Linked DNA regions of Anolis sagrei. The protein of the gene in region 1 purifies or fractionates together with the protein of each later gene. This does not show direct contact. Links are inferred from orthologs where the notes say so. Each region holds a gene or a part of one and is shown on either strand. Other genes may lie near its edges. The genes, in order: MTMR2 and MTMR12.

Region 1 (9,897 bases):
TTCCAGATATCAGTTGCTAGCCAGGCATGATCAGCAGTTTAGATCAGACATAAGACAGTACTACACTTGGTCAATACAAATGAAATGCACAGATATAGGGTGGGTGACATCTGGCTTGAAAAAACTACTTGTGAAAGGGAGGTAGAAGTCTTAGTTGACCACAAGCTGGACGTGAGTCAACAGTGTGATGTGGAAGCTAAAAAAGCCATTGTAATTCTAGGCTGCATCAATAGAAGTATGGTGTCTATAGATAAGTGCCTCTCAACCTGGGGTTTGGGACCCCTGGAGGGGTTGCACAGGGGGTTTCAGAGGGGTCGCCAAAGATAACCAGGAAACACATATTTCTGATGATCTTAGGTGCCCCCTTGGCAGAGAAGGCTGAAGTTCTCTCCACCTATCCTTCTCTTCCTTTTTGGTGTCGGTGAACTACAACTCCCAGAATCCAAAAACAGTCCCCACCCCAACCCTACCAGTACTCAATGCTGGCCACAGGGGTGGCTCAACCCATTATGCAAAGTAAGCATTCGCAGTATACTTGAGGAACTCTTGAGGAACTCTTGGAAGAAAATAGACATTGACATATGCGAGTTGTAGTTACTGGGAGGTATAGTTCACCTACAATCAAAGAGCATTCTGAACTCCACCAATGATGGAATTGAACCAAATATGGCACACAGAACTCCCACGACGAACAGAAAATATATATCAATGATTGGTTGGGCGGGGGGGGGGGGGGCAAAATACTGTTTGCTTACCGTTGAAAATACTGTTTGCTTACTGGCCTCTGGCTGGCCATGTAGATAGTGTGCCAAGTTTGGCACAGATCCATTGAGGGCTGGGTTCAGAGTGCTCTTTGATTGCAGGTGAACTATAAATCCCAGCAATTACAACTCCCAAATGACAAGGTCTATTTTCCCCAAACTCCACCAGTGTTCACGTTTGGGCATGTTGAGTATTAATGCCTAGTTTGGTCCAGATCCATTATTGTTTGAGTCCATAGTGCTCTCTGGAGGTAGGTGAACTACAACTCCAAAATTCAAGGTCAATGCCCACCAAACCCTTCCAGTATTTTCTCTTGGTCGTGGGAGTTCTGTGTGCCAATTCTGGTTCAATTCCATCGCTGGTGGAGATCAGAATGCTCTTTGATTGTACATGAGCAACTACATGTAGCAACTACAACTCCTAGCAACTACAACTCCCAAATGACCAAATCAATTCCCCCTTCCAACCCCACCAATATTCAGATTTTGGCATATCGGGCATTTGTGCCAAATTTGGTCCAGTGAATGAAAATACATCCTGCATATCAGATATTTACATTACGATTCATAACAGTACCAAAATTACAGTTGGGAAGAAGCAATGAAAATAATGTTATGGTTGGGGGTCACCACAACATGAGGAACTGTATTAAGGGGTCGTGGCATTCGGAAATTTAAGAACCACAGCTCTAGATGGAGGGAAGTCACAGTCCCACTCTATTCTGCTTTGGTCAGACCTCACCTAGAATAACCCTGTGTCCGGTTCAGGACAACACAATCAAAGAAGGATATGGACAACATAGAATGTGTCCAGAGAAGGGCAACCAAAACAGCCAAAGGTCTGGAAGCCAATCCCTATGAGGAATGGCTTATTTCGGGAGCTGAGCATGAGTCGCTTGGAGAAAAGAAGGTTAAGACATAATAGCCATGTTTAAGGATCTGAAAGGATGTCAGATCAAGGAAGGGAACACTTGTTTTCTGCTGCTCTGAAGTCTAGGACATGGAGCAATGGATTCAAATTACAGGAAAAGAGATTCCATGTAAACATTAGGAAGCACTTCCTGGTGATAAGAGCTCTTCCGCAAGTGGAGTTTGCTGCCTGGGACTGTAGCGGAGCTCCTGCTGTGGAAGTTCTTAAGCAGAGGCTGGACTTCCATCTGTTGAGAGTACTTTGATTGTGTTCTACTGCATGGCAGAATGGGATTGTCTCTTGTAATCTTTTCCAACTCTATGATTCTAAGCAACACCCACTGAAATCCCCTTTTCTATAAACCAACAAAGGTATAGGAGCCACTTCTTGCTTTCAGTCTAAATTATATAGTTCTGAGCTGAGGGGAATCGAGATGAAATGAGAGATTGATTACTGTTCATAAACAACTAGATTTCACAGGCACTCTCTGGGGATTATGGGAACTGTAGTTCATCACATAGAGAAGCACCAGATGGGGGAAGGACGACATAATTATCTATGTGCCGCCGGACTAGATGTCATGGTCATGGAGTGCATCTACTTGGTAGAATCAATGCACCTTGACACCACTATGTATGGTTCAATGCGATGGAATCTAATGAGTTGTATTTTGGGGAGGCACAAGCCCTCTTTGGCAGAGAAGGCTACAAAATCTGGTCAAGTTATGCCTCCAAAATCCCATAGCATTGCCTAGGGGATGCCCGGATGTTTTGATGTTTTACCATCCTTGTGGCAGGATTCTCTCATGTCCCTGCATAGGGAGCTGGAGCTGACAGAGGGAGCTCATCTGTGCTTTCCCCGGATTTGAACCTCCAACCTGTCGGTCTTCAGTCCTGCTGGCACAAGGATTTACCCATTGCACTACCAGGAGCTTCTTATTCATGAGTCACAATAAGTCAAAGGTCAAGTAGACAAACTTTTTTAATGTCAGAAACGACTTGAGAAACTGCACGTCGCTTCTGGTATGAGAGAATTGGCCATTTGCAAGGACATTGCCCAGGGAACGCCTGGATGTTTTGATGTTTTACCATCCTTGTGGCAAGCTTCTCTCATGTCCCTGCATAGGGAGCTCATCCGTGCTCTCCCCAGATTCCAACCTCTGACTTGTCAGTCTTCAGTCCTGCTGGCATAAATGTTTAATCCATTGCACCACTGGGTGCTCCTTATTCATAAGTCACCATAAAGTCAAAGGTGAAATAGACTTTTTTTTTTCATGTCAGGAGCGACTTGAGAAACTGCAAGTTGTTTCTGGTGTGAGAGAACTGGCCGTCTGCAAGGATGTTGCCTAGGGGACACCTGGGTGTTTGATGTTTTACCATCCTTTTGGTAGGCTTTTTTCATGAAACTGGAGCTGACAGAGGGAGCTCATCTGCACTCTTCCCGGATTAGAATCCCCGACTTGTCAGTCGTCAGTCCTGCTGGCACACCGGGGACTCTGCTATGGTAGTTAAATTGATAGAATCATAGAATCAAAGAGTTGGAAGAGACCTCATGGGCCATCCAGTCCAACCCCCTGCCAAGAAGCAGGAATATTGCATTCATAGAGTTGGAAGAGACCTCGTGAACCATCCAGTCCAAACCCCCTGCCAAGAAGCAGGAAAATTGCATTCAAAGCACTCCTGACAGATGGCCATCCAGCCTCTGTTTAAAAGCTTCCAAAGAAGGAGCCTCCACCACACACTGGGGCAGAGAGTTCCACTGCTGAACGGCTCTCACAGTCAGGAAGTTCTTCCTCATGTTCAGATGGAATCTCCTCTCTTGTAGTTTGATGCCAGACTGCATTAATTCTTCAGTGTAGATCAGGCATGGGCTAACTTCGGCCTTCCTAGGAAATGTTAGGAATTGTGGGAGTCGAAATCCACAACATTTGGAGGGCTGAAGTTTGCCCATTCCTGGAGTAGATGCACCTCTGTTTGCAGAAGCTTTACCACCAGCTGAGAGAGTGTGACTCACCCCAAGGCCACTCAGTGAGGATACAAAAGCCCTGCCCTCAAATCCCCCCCAGGCCTTGAGCATCTTATTGCACATCCTTTGGAAACCAAATCCTCTTTTCTGATAGGGAGGTGAGTTGGTTAGAAGCACACATTTCCCTGCAATCTGGAGATGGGTGGAAGGATCAGAGCTGAAAAGTCACGACATTCCCCCTCTTCCCTCCCTCCCTCTTTCCTTCCCCCTTGGGCGGCGCTGCGGGGGAGTAACGAGTAACGAGAAGTAACGCCGTTACCTGGAGAGAGAGTCGATGCTGGGCTGGCGGGTGGTAGAAGGAGGCGCCGGCTTGGAGGCCAGGCTCTCGCAGCTGGAACTCTTCTCCATGGCTGGAGGAAGGAGAGACAGAGAGAGAATGGGAGGGAAGAGATAGAAAGATAAAGGGAGAGAAAGAAAGAGAGGAGCGGAGGGGAGGAGGAGAAATAGGTAGGTAGATAGAGAGATGAATGGGGGAAAGATAGATAGATCAGGCTGTTGCTGCTGCTGCTGCTGTCAAGGGAGTGGAGAGGGCGCGGGCGCTGCCATGTTGAGCCCACAGTGCAGTGCGCATTGCTAGGCGGGGATGTGATGCTCGATGCTCAGCCTCCCTCCTCCGCTTCGGGAGGAGCCGCTTCGCGGGAGGCAGGAGACAGAAGCACAAGCGGCCAACGCCGGCTCCTTCCCTCCCTCCCCTTTCCAAGCTTTGGGGCACATTCAGCCCTCGCTATCCGCTGGGCTTGGCTCCCAAGACCCCCTTCCCTGGGACGCCCACATCCCTGGATGCTCAAGTCCATGGAGATCCTGTTAAACATGTAAACATGGCTAGCCTATCACCTTTCCGCCTCCAAGTCATAGAATCATAGAATCAAAGAGTTGGAAGAGACCTCATGGGCCATCCAGTCCAACCCCCTGCCAAGAAGCAGGAATATTGCATTCAAGTCACCCCTGACAAATGGCCATCCAGCCTCTGTTTAAAAGCTTCCAAAGAAGGAGCCTCCACCACACTCCCTCCAGGGCAGAGAGTTCCACTGCTGAACGGCTCTTACAGTCAGGAAGTTCTTCCTCATGTTCAGATGGAATCTCCTCTCTTGTAGTTTGAAGCCATTGTTCCGCGTCCTAGTCTCCAAGGAAGCAGAGAACAAGCTTGCTCCCTCCTCCCTGTGGCTTCCTCTCACATATTTATACATGGCTTTCATCTCTCCTCTCAGCCTTCTCTTCTTCAGGCTAAACATGCCCGGCTCCTTAAGCCGCTCCTCATAGGGCTTGTTCTCCAGACCCTTGATCGTTTTAGTCACCCTCCTCTGGACACATTCCAGCTTGTCAATATCTCTCTTCAATTGTGGTGCCCAGAATTGGACACAATATTCCAGGTGTGGTCTAACCAAAGCAGAATAGAGGGGTAGCATTACTTCCCTGGATCTAGACACTATCCTCCTATTCAGGCATGTAGCCAGGGGGGGGGGCTCGGGGGGCTTCAGCCCCCCCCCGAAATTCTCATGGTGGTTCGCGAAAAGGCCTTACTGGTGCATTATTTAAACAGTTATGTTTATTAATATCATGATTTGATCACCATTCTCAATATATCCCATATGTATGGGGGTATTGGGGTAATGATACAAAAGGTTTGCTAGGCTAGACCCTCTTTCACTCAGACTCAGCCCCCCCCCCGAAACTCAGCCCCCCCCCGAAACCCCCCCTGAAATTTTTTTAGCCCCCCCCGAAACGAAATCCTGGCTACGGGCCTGCTCCTATTGATGCAGGCCAAAATCGCATTGGCTTTTTTGCCGCCACATGACATTGTTGGCTCATGTTTAACTTGTCCACAAGGACCCCAAAATCTTTTTCACACGTACTGCTCTCGAGCCAGGCATTGTCCCCCATTTTGTATCTTTGCATTTCATTTTTCCTGCCAAAGTGGAGTATCTCGCATTTTTCACTGTTGAACTTCATTTTGTTAATTTTGGCCCATCTCTCTAAACTGTCAAGGTCGTTTTGAATCCTGCTCCTGTCCTGTGGAATATTGGCTATCCCTCTCAATTTGGTGTCGTCTGCAAACTTGATGAGCCTGCCTTCTAGCCCTTCATCTAAGTCATTAATAAAGATGTTGAACAGGACCGGGCCCAGGACGGAACCCTGTGGCACTCCGCTCGTCACTTCTTTCCAGGATGAAGAGGAAGCATTGGTGAGAATCACCCTCTGGGTTCGTCCATTTAACCAATTACAGATCCACCTCAGTGTAGTTTTGCCTAGCCCACATTGGACTAGTTGGTTTGCCAGAAGGTCATGGGGTACCTTGTCGAAGGCCTTATCGAAATCCAGGTACGCTACATGCCTTATTGAAATCCAGGTATGCTCAAGTCCTTGGAAATACTGTTAAACATGTAAACATGACTAGCCTATCACCTTCCAGCCTCCAAGTCATAGAATCCTAGAGTTGGAAGAGAACTCGTGGGCCATCCAGTCCAACCCCCTGCCGAGAAGCAGGAAAATTGCATTGAGCCAACAATGTGATGCTGCGGCAAACGGGATTTTGGCCTGCATCAATAGGAGTCTAGTCTAACTGGAGCGACTTACAGGGAGCAGTCAACCCCCCTGTTTAAGGAACTCCATTGGCTGCCATTCATTTTCTGGTCCCAATTCAAGGTGCAATTTCTTACCTACAAAGCCCTGAACGGTTTGGGACCCACCTACCTGCATGGCTGCATTTCTGTGTACGAACCCACGGAATCTGTTCGATCATCTGGAGAGGCCCTGCTCTCGCTCCCTCCCCCTTTGCAGGCACAATTGGTGGGGACGAAGGAGAGGGCCTTCTCTGTGGTGGCCCCCGACTCTGGAACTTACTCTCCAAGGATATCAGACAAGCCCCTACTGCAACGCTCTCTACGTGGGGTTGCCTTTGAAGACTGTCTGGAAGCTTCAAATGGTCCAACGGTCAGCAGCCAGGCTACTAACGGGAGCGGCGATCAGGGAGCACACAACTCCTCTGTTGCGTCAGCTCCACTGGCTGCCGGTTTGCTACCAGGCACAATTCAAAGTGCTGGTTTTACCCTATAAAGCCCTAAGTGGTTCTAGCCCAACTTACCTGTCCAAACGCATCTCCTCCTATGAACCAGCTAGGGTGTTAAGATTGTCTGAGGAGGCCCTGTTCTCAGTCCCACCTGTTCTCAGTCCCACCTGTGCCACAAGTACGATTGATGGGGACGAGAGACAAGGCCTTCTCAGTGGTGGCCCCTTGGCTGTGCAACGCCCTTCAGATGGAATCTCCTTTCTTGTAGTTTGAAGCCATTGTTCCGCGTCCTGAAGCAAGAGAAGGCTGAGAAGAGACATGATAGCCATGTATAAATATGTGAGAGGAAGTCACAGGATGGAGGGAGCAAGCTTGTACTCTGCTGCCCTGGAGACTAGGACGCGGAACAATTATTCTATGAATCTATGGTGCTACAGCCTTCCAGGTGAGGTCTGACCAAAGCAGAATAGAGTGGGACTAGCACTTCTCTCACTTAGACACTCTCCTCTTATTGATGCATCCAAGAGCTGTTCCAGCTGCCGCATCACATTGTTGAGTCATGTTCAGCTTGAGACAGTAATTTCAACTAAATGTTAGAAGAGAGTGGGGCTAGTACATCTCTCATCTTGACACTATCCTATTGATGCAGTTGAGGGCCGATCCAGCTGACGCATCACATTGTTGAGTCGTGTTCATCTTGAGACAGTAATTTCAACTAAACATTAGATTGTGGAGTCTCGTTTCCATGGACCTGCTGGAGATGTTCTAGTTACATTTCCTATATTGAACAATAGGTTGGACTCAATGGCCTAAGAAACCTCTTACAACTCCGTGATTCCGTCATTCATGATCTTTCTTTTTTAATGTTTTCACTATTTCTTTCATCTTTTTCTTATGGTGGAACATCTGCGTAAAAGGGAAAGTTAGAAAAGCTTGCACACTACGTTCTAATGAGAAGCATGAAATATCCAATATACATTACAGGAAAATAAATTGTGTTGTTGAAAGCTTTCATGGCCGGAATCACTGGGTTGCTGTGAGGTTTTCTGGCAGTATGGTTACCAGTACAGTGGTCCCTCGCTACTTCACGGTTCGCGTTTCGCAGACTCGCTGTTTTGCGGTTTTTCAATATGGACTTAAGAGTGTTCGTCTGCATAGAGAGGCTGCCTCTGCAGATAAAGCCAAAGCCAAGGATTACGTGAACAACACGTTCAAGGAGGGTTGTGTAGTGAGGAGGGTCTATAAAGACTATAAGTATGTGAGGAGGGTCTATAAAGACTTAAAATAGTGTATAACTACTAAAATTATAGTGTATAACTACTAAAATAATGTATAAATATTAACATTTTTAATTGCAGTGGTGCAGTGGGTTAAACCCTTGTGCCAGCAGGAATGAAGACCGACAGGTCGCAAGTTCAAATCTGAGGAGAGGCGGATGAGCTCCCTCTATCAGCTCCAGCTCCTCATGCAGGGACATAAGGGAAGCCTCCTACAAGGAGGATAAAAACATCAAATCACCTAGGCATCAACCAGGCAACGTCCTTGCAGACAGTCAATTCTCTCACACCAGAAGCGACTTGCAGTCTCTCAAGTTGCTCCTGACACGACAATTTTTTTAAATTAAAATTAATATAGCATCCCTACTTCACAGATTTTCACTTTTCATGGGTGGTCCTGGAACGTAACACCCGTGATAAGTGAGGGAGCACTGTATTAAAATCTGTTTACCAGTATTAAAAAACACCAGAATCAAGACAGTAAATAATGAACACCACTCAGAAACAAGAAAACTCCAGACAGCAAGCAAACAAGTGTCAACTAACACCTCCAAAATAGAGGATGCCTCTAGGCAACAAAGGTCAGGCTACCTCTATGCAGATACCTCACTGATTGACTTGCAGCTTCATGGCTACTCAGTGCTATTCCAGCTTGCTAATTGGAACATTCACACTTGCATCAAACAGACAAGGCTTCTTTCTCCCACCTTGGATATTCCAACTATCTATCTATCTATCTATCTATCTATCTATCTATCTATCTATCTATCTATCTATGGATGGAATATCCAGGGTGGCAGAAAGAACACTTGTTTGTTTGATGCAAGTGTGAATGTTGCAATTAGCAAGCTTCAATAGCTTGAATACACACACACGCACACACACACACTCCACATGCCTCACCTCCAACAGACCTCTGAAGATGCCAGCCACAGATGCAGGCAAAATGTCAGAAGAGAATGCTACTAAAACATGGCCATATAGCCCCAAAAACTCACAGCAATCTAGGAAAAAACATTAAAATCTGTAAAATAGCTTTTAATTTTTGAGGCTTCTCTAACTGTAAACCCTCTCCAGTACTGAAGAGTCATGTTTTCCCCCATCTTTCCTTTTTTAAAAGAATTGGAAGTCAGGAAATCACAGAAAAGTCACCAGGGGAACAATATGGTCTGGACAGTCCTCAAACAATGGCAGATGGACAATGGGTTGTTGTAGGTTTTTTCGGGCTATATGGCCATGTTCTACAGGCATTTAGAACATGGCCATATAGCCTGAAAAAACCTACAACAACCCAGTGATTCTGGCCATGAAAGCCTTCGACAATACGCAGATGGACAATGTTTCCCATAAGTGTGGCAGTGTAGCCATATCATGAAAAGTTTCAGCCCTTTCTGGTCAGGAAGGAGTTTCCAGAAAGTAGCTATGTTATCTCCTACAGGAAAACTAATAAATCATCTTTTAACAAGACTAAAATGAAAATTCCAGGTGACGTGTGTGGAGGTGGATGCAGTAATAAATGCATTGATTTTTACAGTTTTCAACCCACTTTGCAGAAGGACATGAGTGCAATGACACCTTTTATGGTTCTTAGCCAACAACAATGACAGGCGGTCATGTGTTTGGTCAGAAAAACTGGTATTTCCTTGTATTCATCCTCTCTATCAGGAGAACAGGAAAGGGGGAGGAAGGGTGGCCTGGAGTTGATAGGACAAGAGGTTCTAAATGCAAAGAATCAGGCCAAAGCCATAACATGGAATGAATGCAGTGGGATGGGCTGCTTCCTCCTTCACTTGTATTTATCACCATGTTAACCTTACTTTTAATATTTGAAAAATTGTATGCTGCTGCTGGACAGTTGGCCTTGAGAGCTGATGTATCTATCAAACAATATTAGAGCATTGAGAAATGTAGAAAGCT
Region 2 (9,784 bases), on another chromosome or scaffold:
AGTAGTAGTAGTAGTAATAATAATAATAATAATAATAATAAACTTTATTTGCAGACTGCCCTATCTCCCCAAAGGGACTCAGGGTGGTTTCCAAACATTCAATTCCTACAAAGAACATATAAACAAACTAGACCAAAACATAATACATCTAACAAAATACAAACAACCTAACTGCAAACTTAATACAAAAAAAATTAACCAAAAAACAACTTAAATAAACCATAAGTAACATAATCATATAGTATAAATTAACAGGATAAAACATTTAACACATTTTAAAAGCTAAGACCTTGTTAAAAGGTGGGATCAATCCTGAGGGGGGAAAGGTGAGATATAATAAAAGTAGCCATAATATTAATAATAATTTTAAATGGTTACAGGATTTTGTATTTCTTTAACTAAACTGTTTCTGAGGGCTTTAAAAAATATTTTTAAATAGTATTTTATTATTTCAACTTGAAGTGTAAGTTGTTTTAATATAGTACATAGGTTAATTCTATTTTAATGTTTGCTTTCTGTTGTGTTAGCAGTTGCACTGTTGGTTTTTAAACTTAGAAGCCTGTTTTGGATCCCAATTGTGTGAGGAAAATGGAATAATACTATAGTAATACTAATAAAGCCTAATAACAAAAACAACATAGTAACAACTAACAATGGCATAGCAACTAATAATGGCACAGCAACAACTGTTGTGTGAGCTGTTTTAATACAGTTTAATTATATTGTAACAGTCACTTTCTGTGTGTTTGTACTGTGGTGGCCTTTTAAATTGTGAGTCTGCAATAAAGTTCAATTGTGGAAAGAATGCAGGATAATAAAATTTAAAATACTAATAACTTATTTGATCCCCAACTGTGAGAGGAAAACAGAAAAGTAATATTAACACTACTAATAGTAGCACAGTAACTACTAATAACTACCAGTGGTTCTCTGCCTTTGGTCCTCCAGGTGTTTTGCAGTTTCAGAAATCCCAGCTAGCTTGCCAGCTGTTAGGAGTTGTGGAGGCAAAAGTCAAAAGCACCTGGAGGACCAAAGGCTGAGAACAACTGAACTACTCTTTGAACTTGAGCCTTGAGTTGTTTCACTACAACGAATAGTTTAATTCTGTTTTACAATTAACTTTTTGTCATGTTCGCAACTGTGACATTTGGTCTTTTTGGTTGTAAGCCTGCTTTAAGTCCCAACTGTGGGAGGAAAGTGGAATAACACTGTAGCAATACTAATAATAGTAGAATATTAACTACTAATAACAGCTACTCATTAAACTTGAAGCTTGAGCTGGTTTAATTGCATTGTAAAGTTCCCTTTCTGGGTGTATTTGTGGTATTATTTGAAGTTGTCAACCTGCTTGGAGTTCCCACTAAGTAAGGAAAGCAGAATACTGTAGTAACACTAATAACAGCATAGCAACTGCTCTTTGAAGTTGAGGTGTGAATGGTTTTAATATGGTAAATAGTTCTACTCTATCGTAATGTTCCCTTTCAGTATGCATTTGTGGTGTTCTCTGGAGTTCTGAGCCTGCTTTGAGACATTATTGTGGGAATGAAGTGAAATAATAAAATAAAGAGTAATAAAAGTAATACCAATAACAGCAAGGCAATAATAATGGAATAACATATATTAATAACTATGCTTTGGACTTGAGGTATGAGCTACTTTAATACAATAAATAGTTAAATTATATTCTAATGTTTCTTTTCTGTATACATTTGTGGTCTCCTTTGAAATCATGAGCCTCCTTTGAGCCTCAAGTGTGGGAGGAAAGTGGAATAATAAGAGAAATACTAATAACAATAGTAAGTACTATGGCACAGCCACTACTCTTTGAACTTGAGGTATAGGTTGCTTTAATATAGTAAATAGTTCAACTTCATTGCAATGTTCCCTTTCCATGTGAGCCTGCTCTGAGTCATAACTGTGGGAGGAAATACTGTAAAACTAATAACAACATAGTAACTACTACGAATAATTACACTTTCAACTTGAGTTGCTTTAGTTCTATTGTAACGTTCCCTTTCATGACATAATTATGGTGCTCTTTCAAGTTGTAAGCCTGCTTTCGAGTTCCAATTGTGTTAGGAAAGGATACTGGTAATAATAATAAATCCAATTCAAAATCCAATTATCACAGGGAGAGAAAGTGAGGTAAAATCCTCTGAACAGGGTCACAGGCAGCAGAAGAAAAACTACAGGGGTGTTAACTGTTCTCTATACTATCCAGAACTATCCATCTATCCGGCTGGAGTTGCACTTAAAATGTACCCATTCCAACTTAAATTTAGGAATTGTGAGAGCTGAAGTCCAAAACTCCTGAAGACAGGCACCAATGTGTGTGTCTTTTGCCAATTAATCTAATTTTGTTTCAAGGCAGCATACAGTTATGTAAAGAAAATAGCTAGCTAAATATCAGTGTGGTGTAGCAATAATATAACAAAAATAGGTAGCTATATATCAATGTGGTGTAGAAGACGGAGAATTGGTCAAGGACTCAGGGGATCAGGAAGTTTATTTCATATAAAAAATAGGAGTTCAAGTGGCTAAATATCTTTTGACCAAAAACAGGCAACAGCATTGTCTGTAGCCTCCAACAATTCTTCCTCTGTACCAGGAAGTCACAATCTCATTCTAAGAAGAAGGCAGTAGCAAAGCGCCTTTGAAAGGTTCCCTATGGACCTTAGGGAAGGCTGAGCGAAGGAAGATTGATGCTTTTGAGCTGTGGTGCTGGAGGAAAGTTCTGAGAGTGCCTTGGACTCCAACCAGTCCATCCTCCAGGAAATAAAGCCCGGCTGCTCATTGGAGGGAAGGATACTAGAGACAAAGCCGAAGTACTTTGGCCACATCACGAGGAGACAGCAAAGCCTGGAGAAGGCAATTATGCTGGGGAAGGTGGAAGGCAAAAGGAAGAGGGTCCGACCAAGGGCAAGATGGATGGATGGCATCATTGAAGTGACTGGACTGACCTTGAAGGAGCTGGGGGTGGTGACGGCCGACAGGGAGCTCTGGCGTGGGCTGGTCCATGAGGTCACGAAGAGTCGGAGACGACTGAAGAAATGAACAAGATATAGACCTTGAAGGAGCTGGGGGTGGTGGCGGCCGACAGGGAGCTCTGGCGTGGGCTGGTCCATGAGGTCACGAAGAGTCGGAGACGACTGAAGAAATGAACAAGATATAGACCTTGAAGGAGCTGGGGGTGGTGGCGGCCGACAGGGAGCTCTGGCGTGGGCTGGTCCATGAGGTCACGAAGAGTCGGAGATGACTGAAGAAATGAACAAGATATAGACCTTGAAGGAGCTGGGGGTGGTGGCGGCCGACAGGGAGCTCTGGCGTGGGCTGGTCCATGAGGTCACGAAGAGTCGGAGACGACTGAAGAAATGAACAAGATATAGACCTTGAAGGAGCTGGGGGTGGTGGCGGCCGACAGGGAGCTCTGGCGTGGGCTGGTCCATGAGGTCACGAAGAGTCGGAGACGACTGAAGAAATGAACAAGATATAGACCTTGAAGGAGCTGGGGGTGGTGGCGGCCGACAGGGAGCTCTGGCGTGGGCTGGTCCATGAGGTCACGAAGAGTCGGAGACGACTGAAGAAATGAACAAGATATAGACCTTGAAGGAGCTGGGGGTGGTGGCGGCCGACAGGGAGCTCTGGCGTGGGCTGGTCCATGAGGTCATGAAGAGTCGGAGAGGACTGAACGAATGAACAACAACAATATAGAATATAGATATGTAATATTACTAATAATATTACAGTATAATGGTTTACTACAATATAGTTATATGTAACACTGATATTGTGCTAGGCTAATAATATAACATATTGTATGTATATAGATATATCTTGTAAGCTGCTCTGAGTCCCCTTCGGGGTGAGAAGGGCGGCACAGAAATGCCATAAAGAAATCAGCAAGGGCTCAGCCAGGCAGAGGCAAGCCCTCTTTTTTGGGCCACGCCCCTTTTTCCCTTGTGGCCACGCCCCCTTCCGCGCGCCTCGCCCTCGCGCCCCTTCCCCCCTCCCTCCCTCCCTCGGCCTCCCAACGGCCGCTCTCCTTCCTTGCCAAGGGCTTCTTCCTTCCTTCCTTCCTTCCCCTCCGCTGGCTCACCTCGGGGCTGATGTAGGAGACGAAGGAGGGCTTGGCTGCCTTGGGCCCCGCGCCGCCGGCTGCGCCGAGCATCTCTGCGCCCCTCTGCGGGCCCCAGGCGCAGGCCCCGGCCGGCTTCCCCCACGGCGAGGAGGGCGAAGGCGAGGGCGGCGGCGTGGGCAGCTCCTCCCACGAGGACTCCGCGCCCTCCTCCCCCTCCTCTTGGTTCTCCTCCTCTCTCGCTAACGCCGCCTTGCTCCGTCTCACGTAGTTAATCCCTCCCATCGCAGGCAACGCCAACGCCGCTGCTTCTAGTGCTTCTAGTGCTGCTACTTCTGGCTCTCCTCGCCTCTCGGGTGTGGCACGCACGCGCGCGGAGCTCCATTTCTGCTCACGCGCCTCCCGCGCCCCGCCCCGCCATTGGGCCGGCGGGCAGCCAATCACAGCGCCTCTCCCCGCTTCTGTCGCTGCTCTGGGAGGAGCCGAGGGCGGGGTCGTTCCCCAGACTGACAGCCATAACCTCCAATCAAGACAATCAAGGACTGTAAAGACAAGCAACTGATTGCTGATCAGGTTGCTGTAAGTTTTTAGGGCTGTATGGCTATGCAGGACCTTTTTCATCCTCTGGGGAGGCCCTCCCCTCGCTTCCACCTACCTCGCAAGCAGAGGAGGCCCTAGGTAATTTTCAAACAATATTTTGGCGGCCCCCCCCCCCCCCAACCAATTATTGATATATATTTTCTGTTCCCCGTGGGAGTTCTGTGTGCCATATTGGGTTCAATTCCATCATTGGTGGAGTTCAGAATGGTCTTTGATTTTAGGTGAACTATATATCCCAGTATGGGAGCCCCCAGTGGCACAGTGGGTTAAAGCACTGAACTGCTGAGCTTGTTGATCGAAAGGTCGCAGGTTTGATTCCGGGGAGCGGCGTGAGCTTCCGCTGTCAGCCCTAGCTTCTGCCAACCTAGCAGTTCGAAAACATGCAAATGTGAGTAGATCAATAGGTACCGCTCCGGCGGGAAGGTAACGGCGCTCCATGCAGTCATGCCGGCCACATGACCTTGGCCACATGACCTTGGACGTGTCTATGGACAACGCTGACTCTTCGGCCTAGAAATGGAGATGAGCACCACACCCCAGAGTCAGACATGACTGGACTTAATGTCAGGGGACAACCTTTACCTTTACTATGGCTATGCAGGACCTTTTTCATCCTCTGGGGAGGCCCTCCTCTCGCTTCCCCCTCCCTCGCAAGCAGAGGAGGCCCTAGGTAATTTTCAACGGTAAGCAAACAATATTTTGGCGCCCCCTCCTCCCCCAACCAATTATTGATATATATTTTCTAGGTTCTTGTAGGTTTTTTTGGGCTATATGGCCATGTTCTAGAGGCACTTCTCCTGACGTTTCTCCTGCATCTATGGCAAGCATCCTCAGAGGTAGTGAGGTCTGTTGGAAATAGGAAAAAGTGTTTATATATCTGTGGAATGGCTGGGGTGGGGCAAGGAGCTCTTCTCTGCTGGAGCTAGGTGTGAATGTTTCAACTGACCACCTTCATTAGCATTTGAAGGCCTGCCTGAGCCTGGGAAAATCTTTTGCTGAGAGGTGTTAAGATGTGCCTGGTTGTTTCCTCTCTGCTGTTTTGCTGTTGTAATTTTAGAGTTTTTTAATACTGGTAGCCAGATTTTGTTCATTTTCATGGTTTCTTCCTTTCTGTTGAAATTGTCCACATGCTTGTGGATTTCAATGGCTTCTCTGTGTAGTCTGACATGGTGGTTGTTGGTGTGGTCCAGCATTTCTGTGTTCTCAAATAATATGCTGTGTCCAGGCTGGTTCATCAGGTGCTCTGCTATGGCTGACTTCTCTGGTTGAAGTAGTCTGCAGTGCCTTACATGTTCCTTGATTCGTGTTTGGGCGCTGCGATTGCTTGTATTGTTGTGTTTGGGCTCGGCCTCATGTAAGCCGCACCAAGTCCCTTGGGGAGATGGTAGCGGGGTAGAAATAAAGTGTTATTATTATTATTTCCCATCCCCAGGGGAGGCCCTCCTCTCGCTTCCCCCTCCTTCTCAAGCACGACTTGTGGGGACAAGGGAGAGATCCTTCTCCATGGTGGCCCCTCGGCTTTGGAATTGGGTACCCGGAGAGATTAGCCAAGAGCCCACCCTGGCAGCGGTAATAGTATGATAACCTTGCCCTAACCTTTACCCTAACCCTAAACTGTACCCTAACCATAACCCCTTACCATAACCCTAACCAAAACCCTAAACCTTAACCTAATCCTTAACCTAACCCTAAACTGTACCTTAACCATAACCCCTAACCTTACTCTAACCTAAACCCTAAACCTTGCCCTAAACCTAAACTGTACCCCAACCGTAACCCCTAACCCTTACCCTAACCATAACCCAAACCCTAAACCTTGCCCTAACCCTTAACCTAACTCTAAACCGTACCCTAACCGTAACCCCTTACCCTAACCATAACCCAAACCCTAAACCTTGTCCTAACCCTAACCCTAAACTGTACCCTAACCATAACCCCTAACCCTTACCCTAACCATAACCCAAACCCTAAACCTTGCCCTAACCCTGACCCTAACCCTAAACTGTACCCTAACCGTAACCCCAACCCTTACCCTAACCATAACCCAAACCCTAAATCTTGCCCTATCCCTTACCCTAACCCTAAACCGTACACTAACTGTAACCCCTAACCATAACCCTAACTCAAACCCTAAACCTTGCCCTAGCCCTTAACCGTACCCTAATCGTAGCCCTAACCCAAATCCTAAACCTTGCCCTAACCCTTACCCTAACCCTAAACCGTACCCTAACCGTAACCCCTAACTCTTACCCTAACTCTAACTCAAACCCTAAACCTTGCCCTAGCCCTTAACCTAACCTTAAACTATACCCTAACCGTAACCCCTAACTCTTACCCTAACCCTAACCCAAACCCTAAAGCTTGCCCTAACCCTTATCCTAAACTGTACCCTAACCGTAACTCCTAACCCTTACCCTTACCCTAACCATAACCCAAACCCTAAACCTTGTCCTAACCCTTACCCTAAGCGTCCCCTCTTTTTAATCCTTCCTTCTCTCTCCCCGCTCTCCCCCCGCAGCCTCTCTTTCCTTATTCACAGCCGCCTTTGCGGCATCTCCGTAACACTTGGAGCTTCTGGACCCAGCTATCATACTATCACCCTGGCAGCCTTCAGGAAGAGCCTAAAAACCTGGCTGTTTTGGTGTACCTTTGAGGAATGAATACAATCCCCGTACCATGACCAGCTCAGCACAATATGCCCATTGATGCACTTTATCTCATCCTTCAATGATATTCTCCCCATTGCTGTTCCCACCTGAAATCCCCCCATCACGCACACTACCCTACTCATCCATCTCACCCAGGGTTTGTATATTTTAATTCTACCCCTTTAACTCGGCCCAGCCCAGTGTGCACATTTTTATTATTTTATTTCATTTCCTTTATTTGATTTTGTATTAATTTGTTTTGTTTATATTTCATTTGGGGTTATTATTTGTTGTATGTATTTTATTTCGATTTGTTGTAATTGTTGGGCTTGGCCTCATGTTAGCCGCCCTGAGTCTCCGTTGAGGAGTTGGTGGTGGGGTATAAATAAAGTATTAATTATTAATATTAATACTATTATCCTCTAGAAGCATTCTCTCTTGACGTTTCGCCTACATCTATGGCAGGCATCCTCTTTTTTTTCTTTTTTCCCCTTTTTTTGTATTGGGTTGGTGGTTAGAAGACTACAACTATTGGAGGACATTCACATAAATTCCACATATCTGTGGTATCATGTCCAGGGTGGGAGAAAGAACTCTTGTCTGTTGAGGTAGGTGTGAATGTTTCAATTGGCCACCTTGATTAGCATTTAATAGCCGAGCAGTTTTCAAGGTCTGGCTTCTTACTGCCTGGGGGAATCCTTTGTTGAGAGGTGATTAACTGTCCCTGGTAGTTTCTTGTCTGGAGTTCCCCTGTTTTTGAATGTTGTTCTTTATTTGCTGTTATGATTTTAGAGGTTTTTTTTTAAATAGTAGTAGCAAGATTTTGTTCATTTTCATGGTTTCCTCCTGTCTGTTGAAATTGTCCACATGCTTGTGGATTTCAGTGGCTTCTCTGTGTAGCCTGACATGGTGGTTGTTGGAGTGGTCCAGCATTTATGTGTTCTCAAATAATATGCTGTGACCAGGATGGTTCATCAGGTGCTCTGCTATGGCTGACTTCTGTGGTTGAGCTAGTCTGCAGTACCATTCATGTTCGGGCAATGCTGCGTTTGGTGGTCCCTATGTAGAGTTGTCCACAGCTGCATGGTATCATGGCCAATTGAAACATTCATACCTACCTCCAACAGACAAGAGTTCTTTCTCCCACCCTGGACATTTCAGAGATATATAAACCCAATTTTCCTAGTTTCTAACAGACCTCACAACCTCTTAAGATGCCTGACATAAATGCAGGTGAAACATCAGGAGAGAATGCTTCTGGAACATGGCCATACAGCCCAAAAAACTTACAGCAACCCAGTGATTCCATGAAAGTCTTTGACAATACATTGATTGCTGATCACTTAAAGGTGAGATGAATTCCATGGCAAACTGTTATTACTTCCTGTCAAAAGCATTGCATAAATAAATATCAAACTGATAAATTAAAGGGAGCACAAGCAGCTAAATAATTATAGACCAAAAATGGACAACATTGACTACATGGTCTGTAGCGTTAAACAGTTCTTCCTCTCTTTGACCAGAAGCTGGCCACTTGGAGTGGCTCTGGTGTCACTGTAAGAAGGTCCTCCATTGTGCACGTGGCAGGGCTCAGACTGCATTGTATTAAGTGGTCTGTGGTTTGCTCTCCTCCACACTCTCATATCGTGGACTAAATTTCCATTGATCAGAAGCTGGCCACTTAGAGTGTCTTAGCGTGTGCTCTCCTCCTCCACCAAATTATATTTAATTCTGGGTTTCTGTGACTTTTTCAGGCTGTATGGCCATGTTCTAGAAGCATTCTCTCCTGATGTTTCACCTGCATTTTTGGCAGGCATCCTCAGAGGTTGTGAGGTCTTTTGGAAACTAGGAAAGTGAGGTTTATATATCTGTGGAATAATGTCCAGGGTGGGAGAAAGAAATCTTGTCTGCTTGAGGCAAGTATGAATGTTGCTGTTGGCTACCTTGATTAGCATTTAATGGTCTTGTAGCTTCAGTGCCTGGCTGGTTGCTGCCTGGGGGATCCCTTGTTGGGAAAAAGCCTTTGACAATACATATAATTAATTCTCTTGCTGGAACTGCGGTGGGGACAAGCAGCAGCCAGCTAGAACCTTTTATGTTTAAATCTCCCATTTTATGGACGATCAACGCTCTGGCACCCAGGATACTTTTTGCAAGTGTCTTTCTCCTTTTAATAGTTATATTGTTTCTAAACCTAAATAAATGTGCACCCTGGTGCATTATCCACTATATCTGCATCTTTGTATTCTCTTTGTCTCCCTTAGTCTCTTTCTTCCATTTTTGCCTCTCACAGCCAGCTTGGTAGCCATCGGGCCACATGGTCCTCATGACCCCACAGCCCCCCCATGGCCCTCAGAATTGGGGGTTTTTTTCTGTTCCTCTCCCCCACACTAACTATCCCTTTGTCTCCCTGAACCCTTTTTCCAACCCCCACCTCCGTGGGTGCCCTGACTTCCTTGGT

What was found.
Region 2: the proteins of MTMR2 (region 1) and MTMR12 purify together in Homo sapiens (affinity purification with mass spectrometry; 5 studies listed by BioGRID and IntAct, with this or other methods). This does not show direct contact. The link is inferred for Anolis sagrei from reciprocal best matches to the Homo sapiens genes MTMR2 and MTMR12.

Annotation. Positions count from the first base shown.
Region 1 is NC_090023.1:20,351,882-20,361,778, forward strand, and holds the start of MTMR2 (myotubularin-related protein 2), read right to left. Parts: upstream 4,324-9,897; 5' UTR 4,045-4,323; coding exon 3,956-4,044; intron 1-3,955. UniProt on the Homo sapiens protein: Lipid phosphatase that specifically dephosphorylates the D-3 position of phosphatidylinositol 3-phosphate and phosphatidylinositol 3,5-bisphosphate, generating phosphatidylinositol and phosphatidylinositol 5-phosphate.
Region 2 is NC_090022.1:281,060,157-281,069,940, reverse strand, and holds the start of MTMR12 (myotubularin-related protein 12), read right to left. Parts: upstream 4,456-9,784; 5' UTR 4,361-4,455; coding exon 4,097-4,360; intron 1-4,096. UniProt on the Homo sapiens protein: Acts as an adapter for the myotubularin-related phosphatases. Regulates phosphatase MTM1 protein stability and possibly its intracellular location. By stabilizing MTM1 protein levels, required for skeletal muscle maintenance but not for myogenesis.